Struthio camelus: one gene and its partners. The protein of the gene in region 2 purifies or fractionates together with the protein of the main gene of each other region. This does not show direct contact. Links are inferred from orthologs where the notes say so. Each region holds a gene or a part of one and is shown on either strand. Other genes may lie near its edges. The genes, in order: TIMELESS, TIPIN and RPA1.

Region 1 (7,474 bases), on a different chromosome or scaffold from region 2:
AGGAAGAGATGGGCTGTCTCCACCAGGTCCCGCAAGAAGCTGCGCGGCTGCTTCGTCTCATCGAACTTGCGGAAGAGGGCAAGGAAGAGCTCCCGGTACTCCATCAGGTAGAAGATGTTATCTGAAGGAGAAGGGATTGGCCAAGAACTAGGAAAACAGGATGGAGCATGGAGCCTATGGCAGGGGGGACGGACAGACTCACTCTTGATGATCTGGCTGCTATCCCGCACGGCCTGCTCAGGCGAACGGTCCATCTCCTGCACCGTCCGCAGCAGCTCCTGGTAGGCCTTCAGGGCCAGGTGCATCCTGGGGACACAGTGTCAGGCCAGGGCACAGCGCTGCCCCCCAGCATCACACCCACTGCCCTCGCAGACCAACAGCTCCACAGCCAGGGACAGGACCAGGCGCCCTAGCAGCACACGCCCACCTGCGGGCCCAGGTCGCAGCCTCCTTCTTGTCCATCAGTGCCATCTCGTAGTAGGAGGTGAGGTTCTGCTCAATGAAGTGGAAGGCGCGGATTCCCACCGTCTCCGACACCAGCTCTGGCCGGAACCGCAGGCTCCGATTGAAGGCCATAAAGAAGGCTGTAGCCCATAGGTAGTAGGTCTCATCGTGCTGCTGAGCCTTCTCCCGAATCAGCTGGTCCTGGAGGAGGCAGAGACAGGGTCAGCGCCAGGACCACTGCGCTGCCTCAGGCCGTTACGCTGTGCACTCCAGGGCTGCGCGTCCCTCCCCGAGCCCCGGCCCCCTCACCTTGACCAGGTACATGAGGTGGTTGTAGCAGCCCTCCAGAAAGTCCTGGCAAAACTCGCGCAGGAAGAGCCGGACGTTGCGGGCAGAGCGCCGGGGCGGCTCGGCCTCGCGGGCCGCCAGCCGGCGCTTGGGCACCCTCCGCACCTCCTTGCCCAGGTCGTGGCTGTAGCTCTTCAGCTGTGGGGGCAAACACCAATGCCGACTCATGTCCCGGTGCCCCAGCCTCCCCACTGCTGTCCTGGCCCCATTACTCACATTGTGCAGGCCCTTGTGAAAAACAACGTCCCGGTCCCCAATTGCCTTCAGGCCCTGGATGATGTAGGAGCCACCAAAGCGGGAGTGCCTGGGATGGGGACGCAGGGTGAGCGGAGCCAGCCCGCGGCAGCGGGGCCCCACACCCCTGCTGGCCCCCGATGGATCACCTGGATGGGCGCTGCAGCGCTCGGCTCCTCCTCTCCGCCAGCTCCCGCTGCCGCAGGGTCTCCAGCTCCTCCGTGTCCTCGCCGCGCTCAGCGGCTGAGCGGCCCTGCCCCACCGCGGCCAGCTGCTCGGGGTTCTGTGGGGGGGGGGGGGGGAGCCAAGCTGTCAGCTGCGCCGTGCCGGGGGCTCCGGAGGGAGCAGGGAGGCAGCGAGTCCCCCCTGTGTCCTGTCACCTCCCACCCAGGCTCACTTGGTCGCGGAACATGAGGGAGATGATCTCGAGGACGTGGAGGGCCCACTGCTGCTCAGTCTGCGAGCTGGCCAGGAACTTGAGCAGGTCGTCCATGCCACTGATGTGCAGGGCCCAGAGCACCCGGTCATGGGTGCTGGCGTCACCATCCACGCCCTGGCAGGAGGGGGCAGACGCGGGGCTCAGCACGCAGAACACCAGGGTCCCCAGGAAAGTCACGGGGCCATCACAGCCCCAGGTGGGGAAGGGACAAGGCAGGAGCCCTGCAGGGGGCTGGGAGCTGCCCCCAGACCAGTTTTCCAGACTGCAGCGGGGGCGAGGCACACAGGAAAAGCCTCCATCCTGGTACCTGCTCCTCCGTGGGGTCCGGGGGCACATGCAGCACATTGCGCACCAGCAGCAAGATCCTCTCGATGAGCAGCGTGTCTTCCTCCTGCCGCTGCTCCCAGTCCTGGGGGCGACAGGGCGTGAGGGGCTCCCCCGCTCCTCCCCAGTACCCAGGCCCTGCTCCGCAGGGATGAGGCACCCAAACTCGGGGAGCTGCTAGGAGAAATGGGACTCACCAGTTGCAGCATGTCATAGAGCTTCTCACTGAGCACCCCGAAAACTTTCTCACTAGCAAAAGCCTAGAGAAAACCTAACGTTAGGGCCTGGGGCAGCGACCCTCTGCCCCGCAGAGCTGGGCAGGAGCCCGTGTTCCCATGGCGGGGGCTCACCTCTTTGTAGGCCTGCAGGTAGGACACGACCTGCAGAAAGTGGTGGCGGGAGGTGGCATCTTGGGGCACTTTGCCGAAGCAGAGCAGAGCCGGCTGCGTCAGGTTCACCATGAGCCTGGGAGGGGAGCAGGGCGCGGTGGGAGCTCTGCTCCGCCGGGAGCCCCTCTCCGCCGGGCTGCCGTGCCGGGGGAGCGGCGCCGGGCGCCCTCCCGTCCCTGCACCCCCCGGGCGGTACCTGACCACGGCGTCGAAGAGCACCTTGTCCTGCGGGTACTGCACCAGGATGGGCAGCAGGTCGTTCTGCAGGATCTGGGCCGCCCCCAGCTGCTGCCGGATGTCCCGGGTCTCGTCCTCATGGCGCAAGTACCGGATGAGGTCCTTCACACTCTCTGCGGAGAGGGGCAGCGCGGGGGCCGTGAGACCCCCTCAGCGGCGCCCCGCCAGGCCCCCGCTTGCCCCGGCCCACGTACCCAGGCAGTCGGGCTCCTTGTGGTAGACGTCCCCTTCGAGGTAGCCCAGGGCGCTGCAGGTGGCCAGCAGCTCGCAGTTCATCATGTACAAGTCCATAAATCCGGGCAGGCAGCAGAGGGGACCGGGGGCCGCGGAGGGGCCGGAGCGCCTTTGGGGCAGACATGGGGGCTCACGGGGGGCAGGGGCGGCAGCGCCCTCCCACCCCCCGGTACCGGGGCACCGGCCGGTCCCGGATCCCAGGTCCCCAGGTGTCACCACGTCCCCCTTCCCCCAGTACCGGGATGCCACTGGGTCCCCCCTCCACTGGTACCAGGGCACCACTGGGTCTCTCTCCCTGCCGGTACCGGCCAGGGCAGCACCGGTCCTCCCTGGCCCCCGGTACCGGGACATCCCCCGGTCACCCTCACCCCACCTCCCCTGTCCCCAGGGCACCAGCCGGTCCCGATCCCCCACCCCGGAGACCGGGGCACCGCTGGGTCTCCTGCCCGGCGACAGCAGCGCGGCGGGACCGGGACCGGGACCGGGACCGGGACCGGGACCGGGACCGGGACCGGGACCGGGACCGGGACCGCCGCACTCACCGCCGCCCGTCGCCGCCGCCCGCCCTAAAAAGGCGGCGGGGCGGGGGCAGGCGGCCGTTACGCAACCGCCCCACTTCCCGCAACCTACTTTCACGGGGCCGCGGCGGGGAGGGACCCAGGCGTCCTGCCCCGCCCCCACCCCGCGCCGCGCCGCGCCGCCCGCGCGCCCCGCGCCCGCCGCCCCGATGGCGCCCGAGCCCGCCCGCGGGCTTAAAGGGGAAACGCCTCCCTCAGCGGCCGCTGGTGGGGCCGCTCGCCCCCTGCCTACCTAGCAGCCCTGCGGAACCCAAGAGGCCCGGCCCCCTCCCGCAGCCCTCCCCCGTGGGGCGCCGCCCGCAGCGGCCGGCCCGGCTGCTCCCAACAGGGCGGTGCGGCCGCCCCTGGCCGGGGCCGCTCTGCCGGAAGGGCTCCGCGCCGCGGCGTTGCCCTTTTAACGGAGGAGCCGGCGCCGGCGGTGTCTCCGGCCCCCCGCGGCGGGAAGGGGCGGGGCTTCCCCGGCGGCGCGCGACTGGCCCGCCCCACCCCGGCCCCGCCCCCCGGCGACTCCCGTCACCCCCCGCGCGGTTGCCGGGGCGACGCGGGCCCGGTGCGGCCCGGTGCGGGGCGCGGGCCACGGTCGAGAGCGGTTACCAAAATAAAAGAGCAGGTTTAATTCACTGAACACAGGAGCGCCGGGCGGGGCGGCGCGAAGGACGGGCCGGGCCGGCACGGGCACCGGCACCGGCTGCGCGTGCGGCCTCCCGCGATGGGCGCCCGGCAGCGGGGCCCAGGCCGCGGTGACCCCCCCCACCCCCCGCGATCCCCGCCGCACGGAGCCGGCCCGGCCCGTTCCTCAGCGCGAACCGCCAGGCCACGCCGGCCCCGGGCACCGGGACCTCCCCCCTCCGGTACCGGGGACCCCCCCCCCCCCCGCCGGCAGGGCCCGGCCGGTGTCGGCACCGCACACACACGCACGCACACGCAGGGCCCGGGCGGCACGGGGTGGGGGGAGGCGCTGCCGGGGGGCCGCGCGCAGGCAGGGGTCGGCCGGAGGCGGGGGGGGTCCTTTCCGCCCCCATCCCCCAAATACAACCAAGCGGAGGCCCCGGGCGGCCCCCATCACCGCAAAGTAAAGGAAAGTCCACGGAGAAAGGAGAACGGGAGAACTAAAAGCGGCGGCGGTGGCCGCCCTGGCGCACAGGCCGCCCCCGGGTCGCGGCCTCCCCGGGCGGGCGGCGGGGGCCAGGGGGCGGCGCGGGCGCCCCCCGCTCCTACAAGCACTGCGTCTTCAGCTCGAGGGGCTCCGCCGGCGCTTCGCACGGCGCCTCGGCCTCGACCTCGGCCTCGGCCTCGGCCGCCGGCTCGCCCTTGAGGATGGCCAGGCGCTCGGCCAGGCCGCGGGGCCGCGGGGCCAGCACGAAGTCGTAGAGCAGGCCGGCCAGCACGCCGCCCAGGAGCGGGCCCACCCAGTACACCTGCGGGGAGAGGGGGGGGTCTGCCACAGCCACGGGGCGCTCGCGTCCCACCCTCCCTCTGGGGGGTCCGGTGCAGCCGTGGGGCACCCGCGTCCCACCCAGCCCCTCCAAGAGGTTGGGGGGGGGAGCTCAGGGGGCTCTTTGCACCCCGTTGGCACAGCCCCGAGCACGGGGCTGCTCCGGGACGGGGCTGCCCGCACTGCTGGCGCTGGGGCAGATGCAGCAGCTGGTTCCCCTTGGATGGAGGGGCAGCAGGGCCGGGAGCGGCTGGGGCTGGACCAGGATGCAGCTGGGGCTGGACCGGGATGTGGCTGGACCGGGATGCAGCTGGGGCTGGACTGGGATGGGGCTGGACCGGGATGCAGCTGGGGCTGGACCGGGATGTGGCTGGACCGGGATGCAGCTGGGGCTGGACTGGGATGCGGCTGGGGCTGGATCGGGATGCGGCTGGGGCTGGACCGGGATGTGGCTGGACTGGGATGCAGCTGGAGCTGGACTGGGATGTGGCTGGACTGGGATGTGGATGGACTGGGATGCAGCTGGAGTGGGATACGGCTGGAGTGGGATGTGGCTGGGGCTGGACCAGGATGTGGCTGGACCGGGATGCGGCTGGGGCTGGAGTGGGATGTGGCTGGGGCTGGGGCTGGACCAGGATGTGGCTGGACCGGGATGTGGCTGGACCGGGATGCGGCTGGACTGGGATGCAGCTGGACTGGGATGCGGCTGGGGCTGGACTGGGATGTGTCTGGGGCTGGGGCTGGACCAGGATGTGGCTGGACCGGGATGCGGCTGGACTGGGATGCGGCTGGACTGGGATGCGGCTGGACTGGGATGCGGCTGGGGCTGGACATGGAAGCGGCTGGACCGGGTGGGACGTGGCTGGGGCTGGGGCTGGACTGGGACGCGGCTGGGGCAGGACTAGGGCAGGGACGTGGGGTGCCCCAGGCCCCCACCCCGGCCCCACTTACCCAGTGGTTGGTGAAGTTGCGGGTGATGACAGCGGGGGCGAAGGAGCGCGCGGGGTTCATGCTGGCTCCCGTGTAGTACATCTGCAGGAGGCACGTGGGGTGGGGGGGCTGCCGCTGCCCTCCCCGCCCGGCCGGGGGGGCGCAAACGAGGCCAGCAGGCATGCCAATGGCCTGCCACGGCGGGGGGTCCCCAAACGGCTCGCTGATGAGGGCCCCCAAATGGTCTGCCACAGGGGTTCCCAAACAGCCTGCTGATGAGGGTCCCCAAACGGCCTGCCACGGGGGGGGGTGGGTCCCCAAACGTCCTGCTGATGGTGGTCCCCAAACAGCCTGCCACGGGGGGGGGGAGGGGCGCCCAAATGGCCGGCTGAGGGGGGGGGGGTCCCCAAATGGTCTGCCACGGGGGTCCCCAAACAGCCTGCCGACGAGGGTCCCCAAACAGCCCACCAACAAGGGGGGGGGCCCCCAAACAGCCTGCCACGGGGGGGGGTCCCCAAACAGCCCGCCGCAGGGGTCCCCCGCTCTTACCCCGCAGAGGTGTCCCAGGGTGAGGGAGAAGCCGACGGCCAGCGCCGCGGAGCCCAGGCGGCCGTCGCGGCGGTCGTCGTAGCTGGCGAAGACGCAGAGCACGAACTGCATGGTGAGGATGAGCTCCACCGCCGTGCCCTGGGCCAGGCCCACGCTGGGGTGCAGCTGCGGGGGCCGAGGGGCGTCAGCCCCCGCGGGGAGCCCCGGCGTCCGGGCGGGGGGGGGGCGAGACCTCCCCCCGTCCCGCCGGCAGCGAGCGCCCCAAAGAGCCAGACCGCCGTCCGCCCCGGCACCCCCAACCCACAGCACCCCCAGCCATCATCCCCATTTACCCCCAACCCCTCCTGGTCCCCCAACAACCCCCCCCATCACCCCCAGCCCCAAGGCACCTCCAGCCCCTCCTCATCCCCCAATAAACCCCCACATCACCCTCAGCCCCCTGGCACCCCAAACCCCTCCAGACCCCCAACTACCCCCCAAATCACCCCCAGCCCCACATCACCCTCAACCCCTCCAGATCCCCACCAAACCCCCACATCACCCTCAGCCCCCCGGTACCCCAAACCCCTCCAGACCCCTCACCACCCCCCCCATCACCCCCAGCCCCACATCACCCCCAGCCCCTCCCGACCCCCACCCCCCCAGTAACCCCCTTCCCCCAAGCCACCCCCACCCCCCCGCGCCGCCCCGTCCCGCCCGGGCGCCGCTCACCGCACTGAGGCCCAGGGTGCCGCGCGCGGCGGCCGGCGTCAGCCCGTAGAGCAGCCCGGCCCCGGCCAGGCCGCCCAGCAGCTGCGCCAGCAGGTAGCCCAGGCCGCGGGGCAGCGAGAGCTGCGCGCCCAGCAGGAAGGCCACGGTGACGGCCGGGTTGAGGTGGCCGCCGCTCACGTGGCCCAGGGCCTGCACCAGCGTGGCCTGGGCCAGCCCGAAGGCCAGGGCGGCCGCCAGGGCGCCGGGGGGGCCCGGGGCCCAGCGCAGCGAGGCCCCCAGCCCCAGCAGCACGTAGAGGAGGCTGCCGAGGAACTCGGCCGCCACGGCCCTCCAAAAGGAGGCCGAGCGCACTTCCCGCATGGCCTGGCCCCCTGCGCCCCTGCCCCTGCCCCTGCCCCGGCCCTGGCCCGCCTCGCCGCCCCCTCTGCGGGGGAGCCCACCCCCGCGGCCGCCCTTATAACCCCCCCCCCACCCCAGCTCGGCCCCGGGGGTGGGATCCCGCCGCCGCCACCCCCCCACCGCCCGTTAACCGCTTCGCTGCCCAGGCCGCACCGGCGAGGCTGTGTGGGGATCCCCCCGGGGCTGCACCCCGAGCACTGCATGCACCCTCCCACCTCATTTT
Region 2 (7,772 bases):
TTTGTGATAGCAACACATGCAAGGATGCCTGCAGTTATTTACAGTAGCTTGTGAAGTCTAAGTATCAAGTCTCTCTGTGATAAAAAAAAGGGAAAAAAATGTTTTTACTACAGAAGAAATTGAGTTGCAGCTGAGGTTGTTTTCCCCTTTACCCAACTGCGTGTGGAGAAATGCATGGACTCCTTTGTCTGACACACTGAACTCCTTTGCAGAGAATATGCGAGTCTCAGAGAATGTACAATTATGACAAATGCCTTGTATAATTGTAGTTGCACTATATTGCAGTTGTTCACATGAGTTATGCAACTCTAGTTATTCTAATAGGTTGTAAAGTATGTCCTCTTTCTCGGAGCAGATTATTGCAAGGAAGATATTATTTTCTTTTAAAGGTCCGGGTTGAACAAACAAGAATTTTAGTTATGAGCTGTAATTTTTCCCCATAAGCTTTGAATCATTTTTCTCCTTCTAACATTGTTTTTTTTTTTTCCTATCAGGTTAGACTATATACTAAAAAGCCTACATAAACAGGTGAATGTCTGGACATGTTTACCGACAACAGAGGTTTCAGTATGCAGACTTTTTTGAAATACAGCAAGAAATGTGTGTGTATCACATACATTATTTCAGCTGACAGTAAAAGTGCAGAGTAAATTCCATCACATAACTTATTTTTTAAGTAATTTGTATGAAGAACTACTATGAATTCTGTTTCAATTTTCTGTGATTTGCAAATGTAAAATAATGATTATACTTTTGGTCAAAGCAGTCATTAATGCTTTTATGGAAATTGAAATTTATTATGGGAAAAATGCCCTATATATTGTGCAAAATGCTCTATTATTCCTAGCATCTCACCCATTTCTAAAGTAAAAAAGACTAAATTATTTTATTTTCACAGCTCTGCCCTTCATACACACACTCCCCCGTCTATTAAATGCCAGGTAACGTTAAGAGATAGCTCCCTCCTGCGGTGTACTTTATACTTGCACTGCAAACAACACTGCGGTCTGAATTCACTTACCTGTTTTAGAGTCCATTTAACCTACTGCAAGACAAAGGTATTTTGATTGTCTGAATACAGAAATATAATCATATGTGTACAGACTGATGCCACCTCAAGAACCATTTCAATATAATTGCTGCTGCCATCACCTAGTTCCTCAGGCGCTATCGTACTCTTGGAACTTTTAGGGGGACCAAGCCTTAAAAAAAGGGCTGGATGGCCTCTAGGCTTTGTTCAATGAGACCTAAGACGCTTTGGGGATTTTTTTTGTTTGTTAGTAAGAACGGACGATCTTACTGATCAGTATAGGCATACTATTATTTCCTAAATGATCTATTTTATTTTGCGTGATTATACAGTATATTTGAAATGTTTCAAGAATGTTGTAGGTTGGTTGGAACTTCTCTAAAACAAACAGATTTAACTTCAGTATATTTGCAACTGAAAATAAAGCACATTTCCTCACCTAAAACAAAGCAATTGTAAAGCCGGTGGGATGTGGGTTTTTCTTACAGACAGGTGTCTCTGAATATGGCTCACGCAGGAGAAGATGAACAAAAAAATATAAGCGAGGCAGTGTAATCCGTAAGAAAGACTTCCAAGCAGGGAGACTTTCTGATTTATTGATTCAACTACTTCTTGAAAAAAAACAGAACTGTAATATATGTCCCTGTAAATAGAACTGCATCAAAGAAGTTTGTCTCCATTACCACTTTTTTCTCTCATGAGACTAACCTAAAAAAACTGAATTTTGGCTAGTTTCTTGTATGAGAAAGAAAAGAATACTAAAGATTTGGAGACTCAATAATCCATATAATAAGGGGAGATAACTTGCAGGAGGCTGATACTGAATCTGTGAAGCAGATATATAGTATATAAAAATACAGAACCTATAAAGTAGCTAAAATATCTGTTAAGTTCCCCTCACCTACCAGTCAGCAGTCAGGAATAAAACACTTATTTCAGTATGAATTATTCCTTTCCTCACGAACTTGATTACTGCATACCTTAATTGCAGTCCTAAATTAGCCCAGTTTTTAAAACCTGATTGCCACATAAAGCTGTATATTTTACTGCCGAGACATACACACACAAAATTTTATTTGCAAGATTTATTACTTCTTAATCTATTTAGTGCTTAACAGAGCAATTCAGGGAAACAATTAGTCCCATAAGCAATGGAATTTAAGAAGCCTAACACAATCTTGATTAAAACTGGCCACCAGAATGAAGTTATTAGAAGGGGGCTGACAGAGAGATGGACAGACAATCAAGCAGAAACCAGTCTTGTACGTTGTTTTCCTCAAGAAATAGGGATTGAAAAACCCACTGTGGATCAGAACAAGAACTTAAATATATCCGTATACTAAAAGGTTAAAAATATATTAATTTTTAAGATGACTGTGTAATACAAAATTTGGATTAGATTGACAAAGTATAAATCACAAATATCCCACTGATACAGCTACACTAGTATCAATATAGCCTACTTTGCATAGAGTTTATGGATGGGGAATGATATTATTATATACACAGGATTACCAGTATAATACTAAGAGGGTTTTGCCAAACAGGTTGCACTCCTGTAGCGGTAAACCCCTCCAAATGCAAAAGTAGCCAGTTGTCCATTTTACAGATTTTCTCTGCCCTATGTTAAGTATAGGATAAAATAGGAAATGAGACAAAGTATTCATTTTCTGCATTTTTTCTCATAAAATAACATTATTAAATACAGAAAGAAATAAATAATACATCTGTTTCCTCTAAGCTAGAAACCAGAAGTATTTTCTAGAATACAGCCAAGTTATGGCTTTTTTTCCTGACTTATTATTTTATCAGCATGTGGCTGGTTATTCATTTCCTGAGAAAAAACAATAATCAATGCCTGCTAGCATATGTTTTTCATTTAATTAGGAACATAGGACTGGAAAGAACCACCCAGGTCATCAAGTCCAGTCTTTAATTAAACACTCTTCAAAAATATTGATTAATCAAAGTTGCATAAATATGGTAGGTTTTATAAGACAGTACTCCTCCACAGAGATTGTAAATAATCTTCTGCTTTAATCCTTGTATAGTACTTTTTCTTTCTGTTCGTAAAAACAGCAGTGAACGGAAACATTGCCATAGAAATTTTGTTTATTGAAAAAACATGCCTTTCAAGCACTTTTTCCAGTTCCATTATCTGTCTGTCCTGGCTAGGACAAAACACCTACCACAGATCAGACATCTGCTTCTGCGGATTGGATGACCTGTGTGTCTGGAGACTGGCCAGCTGGCGACTGTGAAACAGAACAGAAAAAGGCCACCATCTCTCTGCTGAGTACCCTACCACCATATTTCTCTTCTACCTCCCAGTCAATTTTCAGAAAGTATGCAGGAGCTTAAGGGAAATTAGAGAACCTGGTATCTCTGGTAAATTCAGTTGACATAACTACTTAAAATCCACACAGAAAAAAAAGCAGTAACAATTAAGGAAAACAATTCTAAATTGGTTAGATATTCAGGCAACACCCAAAACCTATGATTCCCTTGTTTACAACGAGTATCTTTTAATATAAAGAGTGACTATTATTTTCAGTGTAAAGAGCTTCCCATGGTATTCAATATTTGATTTTTAGTCATTTTATACGACAGAAACAAGTCTTTAGTGTTTTGTTTTGAGCTGGAAATCGGCAACATGATTTATAACAATTAATGTATCTTTCTGTTCGTTTTTCATACTTTCTGAGCTTCAGTAAATTGAAAAAACTGGCCGTATCTAAAAAGTTGTTTGCTAACAAATTCATTAATATGCTTGTTCTTCTATGTGTATTTCTAACTATAAAAGATGTTCCTCTATTTGGGAGTACAGATTTTAAATACTGTTAAAATCATTTTGACTGAAGAATAATACCCTTTATTTTTTTAACTGAGAAGTATCTGCAAGTGATTTTCTTTGTCATATCAGAAGGAATAAATTAAGTTTTCAGACATATTATATGTATCAAACTCCTAGAGAAAAAAGGGAAAACCATTTTCCTTCTGTGTTAATAACGGACACCACTCATTTTGCTTAAACGGTCTGCCGTCTAAGTGAGATGCATTTACACCGACCGACCTGTAAAATATGCAAACAGTATTTTTCAGATACAACAGATCAGTACATCACCTGCTGAAAACTGGATTTGTGACTGACAAAATCGCCAACAGCACCGGAGGCCGCAGCATGGACCCTCCCTCCTGCGGTTTCTGCAGACGGCAAAGTCCCTAAATGGCATTTTCTGTGTGTAGCTGCCAAATCTCATTGGGCTTGGTGTATTTCTTAACGCCTGGACAACTGCAAGCTCTTTATTTTTAATTACCAGAAGGCTCTAATCTACATTTGGACCGAGAAAAACCTGCCCTGGAAGTCTTTCCCCACAGAGGTAGGAAAGTCAGCAGAGCTCCTCGTGCGGTATCTTAAATCCCATTTCAGGGGCTGATTCATCATTCTTTCCCGAGTTGGCCTAGCAACCTTAGATGCTTCAAACGCGACCGGCACCCCCCGGCATTTTAATTTGGCCAAGCGCCACCACACCGCACCCGGGGAGAAGCGAGGGAACGGGCCGCGGCAGCCCTGCCCCACCCCCACCCCCACCCCCACCCCCACCCCCTTCCTCAGGTTTTGGCGCCAAAAGCGCTGTGCGGGGCCGCGCAGGCGCGTTGGCACCGAGCGGCCGCTCGCCTCAGCCGAGAGCTCGCGAGATGGGCGGTTCTCGCGGTGCCTCCCCCGGCGAGGCCCCGCCCCTCCCCGCTCCCCGCCAGTGCTCTGCCGCCGGAGCCAGGAGTTGCTCGTGAGGGGCGCGGGGCGCGGCGCTCGGCCCTCGAGGCCCCTCAGGAGCGCCTTCGCCGCCCTGGCTCCGGCTCCGTCAAGGTTTCACAGCTCAGAGGTAGGGAGCTCGCTTTCTCCATCGGAGGCCAGTGCCGGCGGAGCTGCTTGGGCTCCCCTGTGCCTAAAACGGCAACTTTCTCTCAAAAAAGAGAGCTGTTCGCGAAGCCACGTGTGTGCGTGGTGAGCCCCCGTGGGCTGCTGTGCGCGAGTCTCTGGAATTAGCTGTGCTAAAGCAAGTGGCAAAGGGGGATCCCCCTCCGGACTGCATTTCTGAGTGGGTAAGCTGTAAATCGGAGGAATTATCACCCCTCCCCCCAGGAATCTTTGATTTTTCAAGGACTTGAAGGAAAACAGCTGTCTTAATAAGCGCTTTAGTTACTTTCTTTCCTCTTTTTTTTTTTTAACTGTATTCCTGTGACCCGTTCCTGCCCCTCCCAAATAACTCTGATGAGTTGAGACATGACAAACTCTTATCAAAACCTTATCTGACATCATGAGACTGGATTGTGTCATCCTTTTACATGGTATCTGCTACATAACTTTTTGGATGGTGATGTTTGTTTGTTGTTTTTTTTTAACTGGCAAGTATTTTTCAGGAACCCATGGATGTGTTGTGTATAATTGATACTTAGCTGCTGCTTCTCACTGCTGCTTTTTAAATGTTTTTGCTATTTCCTGCAGGAGAAAACAGTTAATTTGTGGCAATGATAGATCCCTTAGAGAACAACTTGTTTGACCTTCCTGATTATGAGAATACAGAAGATGAAACATTTCCACCTCTTCCACCTCCTACCTCTCCAGGAAAAGATGATGCTGAATGGGCTCTAGCTAATGGAGGTGAACACCTGTGACCCTTAAAGAACCAATTTTGCAATACAGGCTATGAAAACAATTTTACTCTTGGTTGTATTATTCACTACCTTGAATTTCTTATATGTTATGACTATATTATTTATATAAAAATAGCTCTCTCTATATACAGCCTTACATAAAAATAGCCTCATAAGTAAGAAAGCACTTAATAAATTTAAATTATACATGATTCTACACATCCAAGCTTGTGGGAAAAGTTTGTTTTTGTAGAGTCCATCAAAACATCTGCAGTACAAATGGATCTTTTAAAAATTCAAGCTTTTCTGCCAAAATATCAGTAAAGATAATTATACTACAGTGATCTATAGTTACCCTCTATGACTTACCTTGAGTGGAGAAAAGGTAAGAGTGCTAAATATAGTAGTTTGGGAGATGTTACTTGTTTCGGTAAAGCATGCGATTTAGGAAAAGTCCAAGGCACTTCAGGACAAGTGAAACTTAAAACTAAAGCTGTTCATGTTTGAGATGATCTTACAGCCATCCAGTATACTGAACTGGCTAACAGAAGACTCAAAAGATTTCTTTTCAGTGTTATTTATAGGCAAATATGAGTAGACCTAATGTTAAGTATGCGTTTTCCTTGATTCCCTGCTATGTCTGTTTACTAGAAAGTATGGTTTGGAATAGATTGAATTCCTCGATATATGAAAAGGAGAGTTCAAACTTCTGACTTCCTGATGTTCAAAGGTACAAATGTAAAAGAAGAAATCAGTATGTTAACTAATTGCTAGTTGTTAGCTGAGGTGGGCAGTTGTGTCTTACCTGTTAAAGTCAAAAGTATACATACAGCCTTAATGAAAACACATAAAATTTTGTTCTTAAGACATGCAAGCTCATTGTTTTCATATGTTACCCCTTTCTCTATTTTTGAAGGTGATAGTGAAGTTTCAGGCCTCTAAGATTTATCATGGAAATTTTGAGAAACATCTCTTATCACTTGAGGTTTTTAACTCTTAGAACTGGCAGCAGCTACTCTCAATACATTTCTGATCAGAAATATACAAGTTGTAAAGCGAGGGTCTTTGAAAAGAAAGTGTCCTTCTTTGCTAGAAAAGTTGATTCTTTGACTATTTGTGCCCAGTGCCTTTGAGATAGGGTAGAAACTTAAAAATGTATGTTGTGTAACGCTAGTTGATGTAATTTGCATTACATACTGACAGTATATTTCTTTTGTTAGAAACAGATGGTAACCAGCAGTCACAAACGAAGGATTCTTCTGCGACTACACGGAAAGCAGTTAAAAGACCAATACCTAAACTAGATGCCCAAAGGTGATTTTTTTGTTGTTTTTTTGTTTTTTACAGATTATTTCTTTCTGTGATGTATTTCGTACATGGCTGTCGGGGAATGATTAAAGTGCTTATCTACCCCAAGCTAAAGATCAAGATTTTTGGAGATGAAAGTTCCTGTTGTTGCATGCTGCATTTCAACCTTTTTATTCCTTGCTTGCCTATATAATACTATTATTAGTCAAACTTTCTTGATGGTTACTTGGGGCTTAGCACATGCCTAATAACTTGTTTGTAGATATTTATTTTTCATACATAGGACTCTCATCCTTCAGCTGTATCATCTTTATTTTGGCTCAGACCTATGACTGTGGTTTTCTTATTATTTAATTGAAGTGCACTTCAGAATAAAGCCTCAGTGTAAGAATCTAAAGTACTATATAAAGTACATTTATATGTGACTTCTGTACAAACTGGGTAAACTCTGTGTGAAAAAGTTAAGGATTTCAGTATTTCCCTTGCTCTTTCCACTAAAAAAACACTGGGGGTATGGTCTATATAAAAAATGGAAAGAATCTGAGCTTCTGTGGACTGGCCTTTCTGTTTTGTTCTGTGTAATTAAAATCAAAAAGTTGCTTGGACAGGGACTATTTGTACGGTGACTTTCCAAAAAGGTCTCCCTCTTTATTGCAGTCTTTATCCTATTGTGTGGGTCTCTGTGCGTGTGTGTTGGTTTTTCTGTTCTGTGTTTGTGTTTTAGTGACTTCTAAACCCCTATGTCTTTCAAATAGAGCTTCACAGAAAGCTTTAGACT
Region 3 (7,582 bases), on a different chromosome or scaffold from region 2:
TCATTAGCTGCCCACCTTAAAGCAGAAAACTAAGTCTTACCACCCTTGTTGTCGCTTAGCAGTTTTAATGCTTTCTTGATTCGTTGCTGAAGGTCCCATAGCCGCTGTGACAGGCTCTCTCTGCTGACTGAGAGTGCACAAGCTCCATTTGAACAACAAAGTATGTCTTCTCCCTGTGGAAGTCATCCACGCCATCATTCCTGCTCAAGTTCAACTCAAAGCTTATTTTCCATCTCCACGTCTGTATCGTGTCACAGAGCTGCTACATAGTTCCTCAGCTACATTTGTTAAATAAAGGGAGTAGCTCATAAAGTGCTATTAGATTGTTCAGATTTTAGGAGAAACGGGAACAGCTATGAAAACACGTGCTAGTCTGAGCCCACTTAAGATTAAGCTGAAAAAGGGTCATGAGGTACACAACAAACTGTTCATATAAAACACACACTTTTGTTCTCTTTCTTCAAAAAAATGACTTTCCTCATTTAACTCATGGCTAGATGCTGGTTTTGTTTACATCCTGTGAACTGCAGATAATGCAGCTCCCACTACGTATGGCCTCCTGTAGGTACATCCTGTTTTCTAGACTCTGGGTCTCCGTTTCTGTTTCTTAAACACCCCCACTACCCCAATCCATGGCCCTGATACTCAGGGTTTCTTTCAGCAAGTTCAAAGGAATTTTAACTCCTTGTTAAAGGCAGTATTTTCCCTGTAACAGTGGAAGATTGACATACAAGAACATTCCAAGGAAGCTGCTAGAGAGCAATGAGACACTGCCTTGCTCCTGCAGGGTCTTTTGCCTTCAGAGCAGAGGTCACAGACTCAGATCTTTAACTGTGACTTTCCCAGAGACCCAAACGTTACTCACCCTGATATGGTTATATAGTTATAATTATGGAATAATTACCTGCATTGAAGCCCGGCAGCTAGGGCAGCAGAATGAGTTTCTCATGGACACCACACTCTTGACATCAGACTCTATCTCTTCAAGGCACGCCTGACAGCGACACTCGAAGAAATACTGCCTAAGAAGCTGTTGTCTCTCAGCAACCCTCATTCTACATCGATGAGGCCCTGCAAAGGGAGGACAAGGACAGAAAGCGCTAAACAGGTACAGTCCCTAACAAAAGCCTGAAATCTATCCTCGTTTTGACTCAGACTAAATATACCATCTTTTGAAGAGGATGAAACTGGAGACTGTGAAAGCAGAACAGTGGGCATCTGGAGATAAGGACTTGTTCTGATACCTTTGATCAAGACTTACACGTATGCATAAGCTCTAGCAACATTACACTTCAAATTACTATCCTATTAGCAATCAGTCTGCATGCCAAGTAGAAGTGAAAGGATGCCTGGATCTTGAGATAAATACAGAGTTAAAACTCACCATAGCAATGAAAAATCTCTTGGCCTCTTGGGATTGCCTGCGATGCCCTGACAGTGGCAGCTGTCCCACTAAATGATATGCTGATATTGGGACTGCATGAATGGTTCAGAAGGCTGAGGACAGGAAAGAAGGCAGTCGCCAGGCGCACAGGCTTCTTATTTACAACAGCACCATCTCCGGACCCTAAAAACAGAGGGAAAAACAAATATGTTGGGAAGGAAGTCTTAGTGACCCACCAAACTTAATGCAATGGGCACTGGATCCAATCACAGACATCAGTAGGAAAGTTCCTGGCATATTGCTGTAATGAAAAGTAGCTGAATACCATCTAAACGTACACCAAAGATAAGGACAGGCAGGCAGGAGCAAGCCATCAAATTTTACAAAAAACAAGTAGTCATTCCCATCTGCAATGGGAGCTTTTTACAACTGCTAGTTCAGTTTCTCCACTTCACACAAACTAGATGAGCAAGGTTAAGAGGAAAGGGCTTAAAGTGTTTATCTTACCCAACTCTTGCATTACAGTGATCGCTTGCGCGTTACATTGCAGCTGCAACACATGCCTCAGCATTGCTTCTGCCATAATCTTCAACTCTGGAGACAGTTCATCAGACCCATTTTCACATTCTTTTGGCTTGGACCACTCCTCAGACGATTCCCGATTCAAGACAGCAGCCTCTAGACCAGCTTCTTGTAGTTTTTTGCATATAGCTACTATGCTCAGCACGCAAAGGAACTTATGTTCAGGGCTATGCTTCTCAGTATGTGGCAAGAGGTTGAACACAGCTTGGTAAGAACTCTGGTACTGACCGTTGTCATTACAGCCAGGAATCAGAGGCTCTGCCTTCCCAGGGATACCACCTCTGGTATTTGGTACCTCATTGATATGTTTACATCTTGCCTCAGGGCTATGAAGGTCCTTGTCATCATCGTGGGACTGCTCCACCAGCCTACTAACCTCTGCAAATCCTGCCAGCAGAACAGTCCTTAAGGCAACGTGGCAGAAGACCCCTAATGTGAGAAGCAGCGCTCCCAAGGAGCATTCTGTCCTGTGGTACTGTTCCCAGGCCAGATCTGCACAGTTTTGGCTGCAGTACTTTGCATAACTGCATCCACTGCAGGGCACAGAGGCTAAGAGCTGCTTCAGACAACGGTGACAATAAAGATCTGCATTAGTGACCCGAGTGTCCCACACTGTTTCACTACTGTCAGGCAACAGAAGACTCTCCCCTGGGCAGAGAACACTCACAAAGGCCTTCTCTTTCAGCAGATTCTGTCCTGGCAAAATGTCCTGAGAGGCCACCAAATGACGTCCTCTCTCTATATCAAAATTCAAGCTCAAAGATGAAGATGCACCTGAAATGCTGTCATTCTCTTCCCAGATCTCTGACTCTCTTTGAATGGCACCGTGTGCTTCTGGCGCAGGCTCTGGACAGCTCTCTTTCTCATGTACTTTAATCTTCAGTTGACTTATCTTTTTTAGCAGTGCCTGGTGTGTAGCACTAGTCATAGTCTGATCCACAGCAACTTTATTCTCCGCTGCATTGAGGGCCTCTGCTGCATCCTGTAACCTCCCCAAACACAGCAGACATTCAGCTTTCCGCACCAAGACCTTGGGCAGCAGCCTATCTGGATAGCCATGACCTTGAGCCCTCGCAATATCTTCCAAACAAGCCTAGAAACAAAGATGAGGCCTTTTAAACGTACCTGAAAAGCAGTTGAGACTTGTGCTCTTTATCACATCAAAGATTCAACACATTTTACTCAAGATAATACCGATCAGCAGATTCCCTCTCCATAGCCAATCTGTTGGCCAAATAAAGATTCACAATGCAGACCGAAGAGAGAGAAAGCAGGAATTCTTCAGAAACAGTTCCATAACGACGGAAGTTTTAGGCACGCTTCAAAAACACATCTGATGTATACTCTGTTGTGCTAATATCCAAACAGCCTTTATTGGGGGGTTCCTAGAAGCACTCACCTCAAGCCCGACGTGCAAACGTGACATAGTAACGCTCCTAGGCGCCGCTTGGGATCTCCTTTGGCCTATGTCCCCCCTCCAGCTAGGCAGAAGGCCCCAGGTCACACGCTGGGAGCACAGACTTGCTCCAGGCACCCAGGAGCACCTCTGCTCGCCCGCCGCCGCTTACCTCAAAGCGTCCGAGGTGGAAGAGGGCCGCGGAGCGGTTGGCGAAGCACAGGGATACCTCGGGGCTGCCGGGACGCTCGTGCGACGCTGCCTGCGGAGACCAGGCAGACGCTGCCTCACCGGGGCCGGCAGGGCGCCCGCACCGGGGACCCCCTCGCCGGAGGCCCCGTGCCAGGGGCTGACTTGAGGCCTCCCTTACCGGGACCCCCCTCAACCAGGGCCGGCTGTGATCCCCCCTTACCGGGGGGGGGGGGGGAGATGGGATGGACAACCCTAGTCCCCCCCTCACCAGGATCCCCTCAACCAGGGGGCCCCCCACAACGAAGCCCCTCCTTGGGGGCCTCACAGAGCAAAGACCCGCCCCCCCCCCGCACTGAGGGCCCCCTCAAAGTCCCCCTCCCCCACCGAGGCCCCCCTCAGCCGGGACGACCCGGCCCCCCCCCCCCCCCACCGGCGAGGTCCGGCCCCGGAGCCTCCCGCCGGCCGCCTACCTGCGAGTAGAGGCGGGCGGCGGCGACGTACTGGCGGCGCCCGAAGCGCCGGTTGCCCTCCTCCCGGTAGCAGCGCGCGGCCGCCGGCTCCTTGCCCGCGCGCGCCCGCCGGCACAGCCGCCGCAGGGCCGCCGCCGCCTCCTCCTCCTCCTCCTCCTCCGCCTCGGGCCTGCGGGACACGGCGGTCAGCGCCTCGCCTCGCCTCGCCTCGCCTCGCCGCCCCCCGCCGCCCCCGCCGCTCACCCGAGCAGGCCGCAGCCCAGCCGCACCGCGTCGCGCAGCGGCGCCGCCGCCAGCCGCTCCCGCAGCGCCGGCTGCAGCGCGGCCCAGCGCCGGGCGGCGAACGCCCGCCACTCCTCAGCCGGCAGCGCCATCAGCTCGCTCCGATGGCGGCGCCCAGCGGCACCGGAGCGGCCGCACGCTGCGAGCGCTTCCGCCGTACGGCGCCGCCCAGCCAATAGGGGCGCTCCGGCTGCCGCTGCGCGGAGGAGGGGAGGAGCCCGCGCGCCGCGGTGACGGAAGGAGAGCGCGCCGGAAGGAGCGGGGCCAGGCTCGGGGCGGCGGGAGGATTTGGTGGCGGCGGCGGAGCGCGGCGCAAGGCGCAGCACCATGAGCGCGCGACTGAGCGAGGGCGCCATCGCGGTGAGGCGTCGCTGCGCGGCCAGCTCGGGGTGGGGGGGACATTGGGCTAGGTCTGGTCGGAGGGGAGCCAGGCCTAGAGCCGGACTCGGCCCTGAGGCGGCGGCGGTGGGGGGCGGAGGCCGGGCCTGGTGCCCCGCGCCGGGCCGGTCCTGAGGGGAGGGCCCTGGCCGGGCTCAGCGGTGCTGGCCTTGCGCGTTACTTTTGCTGTTTCCCAGCGGTTCCCCCTCTGCTGTGGGTCTCCTGAGCGAAGAGGTGGCATCTCTCTGAGGGTCTCTTTTTTTCCTCCTCTCTAGGCCATAATGCAGGGGGAGAACATCTCCAAGCCCGTGCTGCAAGTCATAGTGAGTACTCTTCCTTACTTCGTCCTGTCAGTAGTGACTGCCTGCGCTTCCTTGTAGGGTTGTGAGCAGGGCCAGACTGCAGCTGAAGTTGCTCAGCATAGGAGCCTTAACGTGATTGAGTAAAGTAGGTTTTGTGTGATTTGAGCTGTGCTGTTGGGAATCAGTGCTCAAGAAGAAAGCTAAATAGACTGAGTCATTCACTAAAGATGTGACTTTGCTTCTGAAGCGTTTCTGAATGAACCAGTGAGGACTAACAGTCTGGTGTTTCCCTTCAGAACACGCGGGCTATTGCGACAGGAAATGGGCCACCGCGTTACCGAGTGCTGATGAGTGATGGTGTTAACACGCTCTCCTGTAAGTATGACAAGCCGTAGTGAGATTTTTACAAGTGTGGAGATGCTAATGTTGCCATAGTTTCTGGTCTAACATCTAGGTTTGTAGTGATGAAATGAGTATTGAAGGAGCAAGTGACACGTAGGGACCGTTTGTATTCTGAATTGTGCCACTGCATTTCAATACTCAGACAAAATCCTTTTTTTCTGGAATTTTTTTGTGAACTGTAGGCAATTAACTCACTGCAGGGTATCATGAGGACAAATCTATAGCGGATGTTTTCATAACAGTGTCTTTGAAGTAGTTTAGCTTAATCATTTTCTTATTTCTTTAATGCATTCTAACTATCATTGCCTGATCGAATCTCCTAAGTTGAGGGATCAAATCCTTATTTTACGTTCAGACTGCTGGTGAATTGTTGGCTGTTACGCTGTTTCCTGTGCTGTAATTAACAGGGCAAGCTGTAGATCTAAATTAACGCCAGTCGACTGACTGGAAAAGTTGTGGCCAACCATGGTAGCCTCTCTTAAGGCCAGCATATGGTAGTTGTTTCAATATTTTTCTTCTACTTTTTGCAGCGTTCATGTTAGCAACACAGCTGAATTCTCTTGTGGAAGAGGAGCGCTTAGCAGCTCACTGTATCTGCCAGATTAACAGATTCATTGTCAACAGCCTGAAAGATGGAAGGTATTCATGTTGTTTTAGATACAGTAATGCTAGTGGGTGCTCTATCCTGTGTGACTAAGCAGAGGCCAAGTGCTTTTAGTTGGGATTATCTGTAAATAATTGGTCTTGAGTGTACAGGAAGGAAAATACAGAAGACAAGCAATAGCAGAAGTAAAAATTACTGAATGTAATGGCAGTGGGTGCGGATGTATCTAATACAGTAGTTTAAGTAATTGAAGGCAACCAGTTGCAATACACAGAATTGTACTGAGGTTATTTTAATAAACCTAAAATAAAATTTACTTAAAATCACCTCTTGTAGAAAAGAAATGATGAAGTTTTCCTGTTACTTAAAGTCGTTGATCTTTCTTTTATGAAGCTTTGAGAGAAGAGAAAGGTAGGATGCTGTAAACTAACAAGTGATTTAGGTAAAGTGACAATCTAAAAACTGTGCAAGTGTGTTAGAGAATGGGAACTGATGTGCTGCATCTTTTTTACTCAATGTTTCTGTAGAGGCAATATAACGTTCCCTTGAGTCAGGGGATGTATCCTCTCTCGTAAGATCTGACTCTGTTCTTTCAAGCCATTTCTGTATGCCCATTCAGCCTGTCATCTTCTGTCTCTGATGAAACGTAATATTGTTTTAAGCCTACCTGTACCTTGTGAGTGGGTTAAGCTGACAGTGGAGAGCTCTTCTTTCCAGATCTCTTGTCCAAAAATCTGCCCCTACTGGTTGTTTCTCTTATCTGCATGCAAAGGATGTTCAAAGTCTGTTGGACTTACAGAGGGAGTGAAAATCTTTATCGCTGTCTGCTCTGTGTTTGTAGGAGAGTAGTTATTCTGATGGATTTAGATGTTCTGAAAACTGCTGATATGGTTGGTGGGAATATTGGCAATCCGGTGCCATACAATGAAGGTAAGTAACTACTGTAGAAAAATACCTTGTCTGAAGAGACTGTTAGGATGGTCTTTCAGCTGCCTGTTTCGTTGTATTTAACAACGTGCAGGCAGATGCGTTCCGCTTCCTTATGCCTGCAACAGTGATGTCCAGATCTTGAACGTCCTTTTTATCTGTGTAACGCAAAATAAACTTTGTTTGTATTCTTGTAAATTCTTCACCGTGGCTGAAGTTTCAGTATGTGGTATTGGGAAGTATCTATAGTTTGTGATAACATTGAGAGCTTTTTATCATACATTAGTGGTCTGCATCTAGACTTCCAGTAAGTGTGCAGAAGCTGTTCTGTATCTTTTCATAATGAGTAACCCAAGAGACTAAGATTTTTGGTCTGGAAAGAAAACAACAGGAGGAGGATGTAATAACGATCTATGAAACTGTAAGATAGCATTGGAGGGGATGAGTAAAGAATGATGACTCTCTCCCTCTCTTCTGTGTTCATTTGATGCTCTTTAGTTCTTACATTATCAGACTGTGGTTTTAAAACAAAGGCTGTACCACACCCCCAAACACTGCATAGTTAAATTATGGAACTCGATGCTACATGATGTGGGTGCCAAAAATTGGCACAGATTCAAAAAGCAATTAGACGTGAAGGAAAAATCCATTAAAGGCTGTTAA

The links.
Region 1: the proteins of TIPIN (region 2) and TIMELESS purify together in Homo sapiens (affinity purification with western blotting; 6 studies listed by BioGRID and IntAct, counting the BioPlex papers as one, with this or other methods). This does not show direct contact. The link is inferred for Struthio camelus from reciprocal best matches to the Homo sapiens genes TIPIN and TIMELESS.
Region 3: the proteins of TIPIN (region 2) and RPA1 purify together in Homo sapiens (affinity purification with western blotting; 4 studies listed by BioGRID and IntAct, with this or other methods). This does not show direct contact. The link is inferred for Struthio camelus from reciprocal best matches to the Homo sapiens genes TIPIN and RPA1.

What each region holds. Positions count from the first base shown.
Region 1 is NC_090969.1:434,384-441,857, reverse strand, and holds the start of TIMELESS (protein timeless homolog), read right to left. Parts: upstream 3,001-7,474; coding exon 2,888-3,000; intron 2,759-2,887; coding exon 2,610-2,758; intron 2,529-2,609; coding exon 2,375-2,528; intron 2,255-2,374; coding exon 2,140-2,254; intron 2,050-2,139; coding exon 1,987-2,049; intron 1,875-1,986; coding exon 1,773-1,874; intron 1,580-1,772; coding exon 1,424-1,579; intron 1,310-1,423; coding exon 1,176-1,309; intron 1,097-1,175; coding exon 1,009-1,096; intron 931-1,008; coding exon 754-930; intron 646-753; coding exon 428-645; intron 307-427; coding exon 203-306; intron 122-202; coding exon 1-121. Other genes in the region: MIP (lens fiber major intrinsic protein), read right to left, coding at 4,442-4,645, 5,614-5,694, 6,142-6,306, 6,853-6,972. UniProt on the Homo sapiens protein: Plays an important role in the control of DNA replication, maintenance of replication fork stability, maintenance of genome stability throughout normal DNA replication, DNA repair and in the regulation of the circadian clock.
Region 2 is NC_090953.1:3,201,556-3,209,327, forward strand, and holds the start of TIPIN (TIMELESS-interacting protein), read left to right. Parts: upstream 1-4,705; 5' UTR 4,706-4,914; exon of another isoform or gene 4,915-5,134; intron 5,135-5,537; 5' UTR 5,538-5,560; coding exon 5,561-5,693; intron 5,694-6,280; exon of another isoform or gene 6,281-6,373; coding exon of another isoform or gene 6,374-6,416; intron 6,417-6,906; coding exon 6,907-7,000; intron 7,001-7,772.
Region 3 is NC_090957.1:16,142,459-16,150,040, forward strand, and holds the start of RPA1 (replication protein A 70 kDa DNA-binding subunit), read left to right. Parts: upstream 1-4,526; 5' UTR 4,527-4,633; coding exon 4,634-4,666; intron 4,667-4,959; coding exon 4,960-5,007; intron 5,008-5,282; coding exon 5,283-5,361; intron 5,362-5,918; coding exon 5,919-6,027; intron 6,028-6,833; coding exon 6,834-6,922; intron 6,923-7,582. Other genes in the region: SMYD4 (SET and MYND domain-containing protein 4), read right to left, coding at 41-173, 905-1,071, 1,385-1,567, 1,892-3,059, 3,535-3,624, 4,025-4,226, 4,268-4,398. UniProt on the Homo sapiens protein: As part of the heterotrimeric replication protein A complex (RPA/RP-A), binds and stabilizes single-stranded DNA intermediates that form during DNA replication or upon DNA stress.